Linked DNA regions of Xenopus tropicalis. The protein of the gene in region 1 binds, or shares a complex with, the protein of each later gene. Links are inferred from orthologs where the notes say so. Each region holds a gene or a part of one and is shown in the gene's direction. Other genes may lie near its edges.

Region 1 (3,832 bases):
GACGTGCAGATGGAGTTCCCAAAATATGACACTACCTGAAGGAAGTGTCTTACAGTTCAAGTATTATAGGTGAGTAAAAAAATATGTAATAGGGGTGTACTCAAATTTTACACACATGTGGGCAGTGTAGTAACTATACTGGGGGCATACCACATGACTTTGTGGGGTCGGGGTAACAGGGGGTCCATGATTGGTGCTGCAAATGAAATTACAATTCTGATTTCTTGGTTTCTATTAGTTTCTTTTCAGCAGTAAAATTCAATTCAGTTTAAGATCGCTTTAGGGCCTTTGTTGTTTAGGGTATTGGTTTGTTTTCTGCACTTCCCTACAGGATGGTTGGCTTTACTTGGATGATCTTTAGGGAGCTGCAATCAAGTTATTACACCACAATATAGTGCTGAATGAACTTTTGCTCTTTTGCTCCTTTGGACAGTTTCCAGTATATTTTGTTTTTATTTTGGATATATTTTTGTTCACCTTTACTGAATGCAATTCCATGTGTTCATATTCTCGGGTAACCTGTTGCTTTTTATATGAAAATGCACCATAATCATAAACTGTGCAGTCTAAAATCCAATAATGTTTATTCTCTCTTTTGAAGAAACAAACTTTATTGCTTAGATAAAGATTTAAAAGGCAATGTGCCGATTTCAAAAGATTGCCAGTTACAAATGGATGGATTCTATGAATGCACATTTGAGCCTGTTCACCTTGTCTCTGGCTATATTATGTGGATTGAGATACAACACCATTTAGGAGCACTTAATTCGCCACCTGTTTGCATCCTTCCCATAAATACAGGTAAGTGTATATTAGGATGCAGGAAGTATAGAATATTAGGAATATTAGGTTCTTAAAACACAGATAGTGAGAGGTAGTATAGCAAGTTAGGGAGTGCTGGAGGGTGAAGGGTTGTAATGTGTCCTGCCCTGAGTGTCTATGGGGCGAGTAAAGTAAAGACACGACTGCCTTATGCCCAACAGAGCGGCACTGTGTACTCTCATGCAGTATTGTGTATCCAGGGCATTTGGAAATACCCCTAAGATTGTTGAAGTCGAAAAATATTCTTTCAAGTAGGAATATACTGTGGATCATGCATAACCCATAATACTTAATTTGGTAACCCACCCCATTACACAATTACATTTACCTGCAATTGATAATTGCTGAGTGCTTGAGATACACAGTCCTACATTGGTTGCACCAAGCTACCAAATTTGTCATTATTTATTATGCGTGAAAAAAATACGGCAGCTAAGACTTGTTAAGATCATTTAGAAGTCAACTGGAAGGTCTTTCTTTACTTTTTGGTTTTAGAGGTTTTTTGACACTGCAACAATACAAAAAGTTTTTGTGTGAAATTCTAAAAGTTTCATGTTTTTTCTGCGACTTTTTTTCATTCGTGCTTTTTCAATTCAGATTTTTTAGTAAATGACTGCCATTCATGGAAATGAGTTTAGTTGTGATTTTAAAAAATATAAAACCACAAAAATCCAAATGTTAATCATAACACTAAAGATATACATTAGTTGTACTTATATGCCTGACTAGACAATATATTATACCATTATAAGAGGTCAAGCAAGCAATGCATTTTTTTTCATTCTAAGCCTGCCTAGATTATATATTATGATATTATATAAGGCAGTGCAAACAGTGGCACAATTTGCGAGCCTCTGCTCTAGACACAGAAGTAAAGTAATGCATGCTTGGTTAATTTAATCATATGACCATGTGTAGAAATTGAGTGGCTGGTCAGCTAAATCTGTTTTCATTCAAGAGCCTTGGTACTTTCATATATATTAAAATTAATTAAATCAAGGACAAACAGTTGAGTGTGGTGTGTTCACACAGGACAATCTCAGAAAGATCACGCTACTACATAATGAGTAATATATGAGTACATTTCTGACTGACTATAAGGTATGCTGCATTTTAACAGGCTGCCGTACATTATCTAAGCACACCTAGTAGAACTCTGTGTAGCATTTACTACTTTGAGACTAGTTTATTCATTTGTGTAAGGTCTGACTGCAAACGTAAGTAAAGCAGTAGTGTATATAAATATGTTAATATAATCTGTGATTTGTTGTTACTTTTATAATCACAGAGATAAAAGCGTGTATTAAAGTAAATGAGATTCTGTTTGCAGTAGTAAATATTTTTCATACTGACTAATAATAAAAATTTTTATTTTAGCGCTATAATTCTTCACTTAAAACACTAGTTATATTTTATTGGCACCATGTGCCTTGAAAATACAAGGGTCCTCAACCTCAACCATAATCCCACTGAGTCCAAGCCAGGCAAGCAGGTAGCAAATAACCTAAACTCACTGTACTGTAGAATTAGCCATTATAAGGGTTGCTGCATATATCTGGCATTGATACTTCCTACCAGATATTTCAAGCATAACTGTAAAATGGGTTATTTCTAATATGCAGCTAAATTCTGAATGATAACGGAATGACCAAATACCCTTAGGGGCAGATTTATGAAAATGTTAGTTAAGAGCTTAATACATAAAAAGTCACCCATGTTCTATTCATTCTTATGGGATTTTAAGAAGAATATTTAGCAATTGGTGAGTTTTACCTTTAACCCATTGATAAATACACTTCTAAAAATCCCATAGGAATGAATAAAAGATGGGTGAGTTAAGATCTATTTATCACATTTTAATAAATTTGCCCCTTAAACATGAGAAAGAGGGTGGATGCAGGACATACTTATTTATAATTATCTATGCCAAATAGAAGACACCAGCAGAATGAAAGACTAAATGCAAAGGCAACTTCTGATTTGAACTTTATAATGAATGCTGAAGTGTAGAGCGCTACATATAAATGCTAACTATAATTTATTTAGTGTAAATCTGTATCCCTGTGATATAAACCTTAAATGCCCCATAAATGCTACATATTAATTATCATACAAGGTGCATGGCCTATCCTGTTATTGTTTAGATGCAGAAAAAGTAACGGGCATACATCTTATACTTTGTTATAAAGGTTATCATTTGCGATTATCCAATGGGTTCCAATTGTCTCCAATGACAAATATATGACTAATTTCTGGAATATCTGAGACTGAGAACAATTGTTTTAATTGGTTTCATACACAATGGTTTAGATTTAGATTATCTGAAATCATTTCTATTGTGTAGCACAGGCTCCTTCCCAAAGCTCAGACTCAGGTGCAATACACTGAGATGGCTGCCTACACACCAATATTACAACAAAAAAAATACATTTGTTGGTTCAAGTATAACATTTTAAATGGTAGAGTGAATTATTTGCTATGTAAACAGTGTAATTAAGAAATAAAAAGTATGCCATAAAATCATGACAGAATCCCTTAAAGTAATAAATGTTCTCTCCTGGCTGAATTCCTGACAGAATGGCAATATGTAGCCAAAAAGCAGCCAGATATCCAATGGGATTTTACAATGCACCAGAAAGATGAGGACCACATTGGAGTTTTGATTTGGGTCCTCTTGATGGGTCTGCCTAGGCCTCCAGAATAATCCAAACCAACAGATCATCCTGATTTGACCCAGATCATTGAAAATCAGCAGATTTGGTGACCTTGCCAAACAAACAGACCTTGCCAAATATGCCCAGCGTAGTTCAGACCAAGCTGTCAAAATTTAAGAATAACAATTTTTTGGCAGGCATGGATTTGCGGCAAATTTCTGCGTTTCGTGAAACAGACGCAAAAACAAAAAAAGTAAAAAAATGACTCGCAACAAAGATAATTGTCACACATGTCATTTTTTTGATGCATGCATCATTTTTTTTGGACACACAAGTCATTTTTTTAAGTTTTTTAC
Region 2 (3,824 bases), on another chromosome or scaffold:
GTTTGTGCATTTGGTTACTAAACTAAGAACCTCTAGTTTCAGGGCATGCACAGTATGTCTGCTGGCTTCCTGACATTAACCACCCAGCAATGCTTGTACCCTTACTAAATCCCTGGGATTATTATTATTAACTTTTATTTATAAAGCGCCAACTTATTCCGCAGCGCTGAGATCTGATATATTGTTTAAAAACTCATCATCACTAGACCCAATTTGTATCCAAAGTTTGTATCACTTAAAGAGAAACTCTCATTAAAATGAATTTTCCAAATATAATCTTTTAAACTTTGTGGATCATTTTGGAAATACTCACATTTATCTTCAGTATTCCCCTCTGATTGGTTGCTATAGGTTACTGGCCTGGTGCAAATTTGTGCAGTCTTTATAAATTACCCACATGGTCTTATGCCTCCAAGTCAGAAATGTAAATATTAACACTTGCTTTGAGGACACTGGGAGCAACATCCAAGTGGTTGGTGAGCAACATGTTGCTCACCAGATAATCATTTTTTAAATAATTTTTATAAAATGAAATTTATTTTACATTTTCATTTTTGTGAAAGTTCCCCTTTAAAAGCTGTTCCCAGAGACAGCAATCCTTGCTGTATTCTAATCTCTTCACTTTCTTTTCAAACAAACCAATGCACAGGTCATTTGAGGAAAAATGAGTAAATATTTATGTTCAGACTACTGACCATGTTGATAAGCTGGGGGTAGGTCATAATAGTTGGCACAGAGTGTGGCTGTACCCAGCAGTCCTTCTGTTTCCATATCAGAGAAATTGCTTTCACTGGGGAAAGCCACCCTGCAAATGGCAGATAATGGAGAGATTTTTTTTCCCTTTGAAAACATGTAGACCTGCCCATGGCAATCTGTGCAGTAACATGACAACTTGAATTTAAAAAAAAAGAATTGCATGTTGTTTCAGTTTAGATTCAGATCTTCCTTTGTCTTCCACGCCATTGTGTTTGCGCCAACTATGCTCAGATTCTTCACAAAACAAGTCTGTCAGGATGTGCTGGGGTGCTGGTGTTCAAACTATCTGCTTTAGATCTCTTGTACTTTGCAGTTCTATTTGCAGTTGGTAGAGACTTGCAACACACACACACAAATACAAAAAGTAACATTTGTGTAACATTACAGCATCTTACTTAAATAAATAACTCCCACTGTTTATCTGAAAGGAGAAAAATGACTCATTTAAAGCAGAAGTATTTTTCTGGTCCCATGTTGTTTGGTCCTCTCTTAGCTCATCATAAGATTACAGATATATAGAAACACAGTTATTATAGTCTCAGGCACATCCAAAACAGTGAAAACCAAATTTGGTGTAATTAGCCTTTGGGATGGGCCCACCTTCCACAGTCCCACAGTCTGGTAACCACTACTGTAAAGGGAAACATCAAAATGTTTTATTAGTTGGTCACCTGTTTGAATTTCATAAAGCAAATCACATTTAAATATTGAGGGAGATTTATCAATACAAGTTTTTGTGCGCTAAGAAAACTCAAATTCGACTTCTGGTTCAAAACCTCGAACGTAAAAATTTGGCCTTTAAAAGCTTGCAAGTTTATGGGAGTTGTCCTAGGCTAAGTCAAGCAATAATCAATTTGAGATATTTGAGGTTTTTTCAAAGTATTTGAGTTTTTTATTCAATAGAGTTTTCCTTAAAATAAATAAGCCAGCACTGGAAGTTGCAAGTTTATTCGATTTAGAAAACAAACTCAAATTCACCAACTCTAAAATTGATAAATAAGCTTAAAGTGTCTCTTGGGTCCCCATACTGCAACTGAATGGTAACATTCACATTCTTTTTGCAGCTATATTTTATATACACCCCTTTTCTGTTTGCATACATTGCACTGCTTATTTTTTTTGGGGGGGGGGGGAGCAGAGCCATTTCTACTACTCAGTATTCTTTAGCCCCTTCTAACCAACTGCTATTTTTTCTCTTTTGTTCATTTTTTTTTTACAAATCCAGTTCCTTTTCCCCAGCAATCTGAAAATCAATGGTTTGGATTTTATCCCAGATGAGCAGGTACTAGAAAGCCTGGAAAGTATGGATGAAACTCTTGAAGTTTTCCAAAAAATTTTCTCCAGTCTTCCATTGGAAAATGTTGATCAGATGTTGAGTGACATGGAGAATCTCCGCAGTCTCTTACAGTTACTGGGCAACATTATGGGATGTACAACCAGAAAACCCACCCAATGTGACACTCAGGTGAACCTGACAGAAGAATATGCTAAAGCCCCTTATACTACAGAAAAGGTAGCGCTGGATCGCCTCCAAAAATCCCTGCATAGTATTGTCAAACACTTGGACCACATCACTGATTGCTAACTAAGGCCCTTCTAATGACAAAATAACTCTATTTTTCACTTCTCTAAAAAAAACCCTGGGTCATTTTAATGAGGAACTACTGCAAGCCATATTTATTCACAAACTGCATAAATAACAGAGGCAATGTTTACCAGGAGCTATTTCTCTCTCTTATTTGTCAGTGAAAACATGCACATAGTTAAAGGGAAAAATTATAGAAAGCTATTGTTTCCAACAAGATATCGATGTCATAGAGTAAATCTATATGTAAGTTATTGCTAGTCACTAAATGAATCAGTAGATACAATAATAACAATAGCTGCAACAAAATCTTTTCTAGTTTCCTACAAATAAGCTTCCCTATTTGTACTGTATACTGCACACTACAGAATATTTTAAATATTTTTGATAACTGTATGGACATGACTTGCACTAGTCAGCGAACAGTAAATAATGTAACTCCAAGATATATCTATAGTAGAGAGGTTTTGCCATGGCAATAAACAGCTTTGTGTTTGGTACCACCCAGCCTAAAATGAGGTCATGCTGTAAATGACAGCCTTAGCTGTGTCTTTAGTTTGTAAAGGAATATGGCATATTTTAAAGATATTTTTATATTTAAATGTTTTCTTAAACTTGAATATTTTAGCTAAAGTGGGCAGCTGTTACTGTTATTTACTATGCACAAAAATCACCGTTATAAATATTTATTTATTTATCCTATGTTTTAAAATAAACTTTTGTAAGAAAAAAAAATGTTTTTGTTGTGATTTATTTGCATTGGCCCAATTGTCTAAGTAGACCTGACAGAGCAAGTATGATTAGAATTCTATTTTATTTTTAAGGCATTGGTAAATACACCTAGGGGCTGATTTACTAAGACACGAATTCCGACCGAATTGGAAAAATTCCGATTGGAAAACGAACATTTTGCGACTTTTTCGTATTTTTTGCGATTTTTTCGGCGCCTTTACGACTTTTCGGAAATTATCGCGACTTTTTCGTTACCAGTACGATTTGCGCGAAAAAACGCGAGTTTTTTGTAGCCATTCCGAAAGTTGCGCTTTTTTCGTAGCGTTAAAACTTGCGCGAAAAGTTGCGCTTTTTTCGTAGCGTTAAAACTTAAAAGGCGCAACGTTTTGCGCAAGTTTTAACACTACGAAAAAAATCGAAACTTTTTGCGCAAGTTTTAACGCTACGAAAAAATCACAACTTTCGGAATGGCTACGAAAAACTTGCGTTTTTCCGCAAAAATCGTATTGGTAACGAAAAAGTCGCGATAATTTTCCTAAAAAATCGCAAAATACCGATCATTACGAAAAAAACGCAATCGGACGCATTCGGCCCGTTCGTGAGTAAGTAAATGGGCCCCCTAGTTATAGAGGAAGAATAACATATTCAGATTGTGATTTGATAGTTCTAGTGATGCATCACTTTGCTATGGAACATTTGTAAAGTTGTCTAAGAATATTTGTGCATGCTACTGACCTGACCAACTTCACTG

Evidence for each region.
Region 2: the proteins of lepr (region 1) and lep are in contact, whole or in part, in a crystal structure (PDB 7Z3R), measured with the Mus musculus proteins. The link is inferred for Xenopus tropicalis from reciprocal best matches to the Homo sapiens genes LEPR and LEP. Residues at the interface, in NP_666258.2 of Mus musculus: Tyr439, Leu440, Thr441, Arg466, Ser468, Leu469, Tyr470, Gln499, Pro500, Ile501, Phe502, Leu503, Leu504, Ser505, Val560, Phe561, Glu563, Asn564; in NP_032519.1 of Mus musculus: Lys26, Val27, Asp30, Thr33, Leu34, Lys36, Thr37, Thr40, Arg41, Gln92, Gln96, Asn99, Asp100, Glu102, Asn103, Asp106, Leu107, Leu110.

What each region holds. Positions count from the first base shown.
Region 1 is NC_030680.2:84,270,169-84,274,000, reverse strand, and holds part of lepr (leptin receptor), read left to right. Parts: coding exon 1-69; intron 70-601; coding exon 602-801; intron 802-3,832. UniProt on the Homo sapiens protein: Receptor for hormone LEP/leptin. On ligand binding, mediates LEP central and peripheral effects through the activation of different signaling pathways such as JAK2/STAT3 and MAPK cascade/FOS.
Region 2 is NC_030679.2:87,925,311-87,929,134, forward strand, and holds the end of lep (leptin), read left to right. Parts: intron 1-1,981; coding exon 1,982-2,341; 3' UTR 2,342-3,067; downstream 3,068-3,824. UniProt on the Homo sapiens protein: Key player in the regulation of energy balance and body weight control. Once released into the circulation, has central and peripheral effects by binding LEPR, found in many tissues, which results in the activation of several major signaling pathways.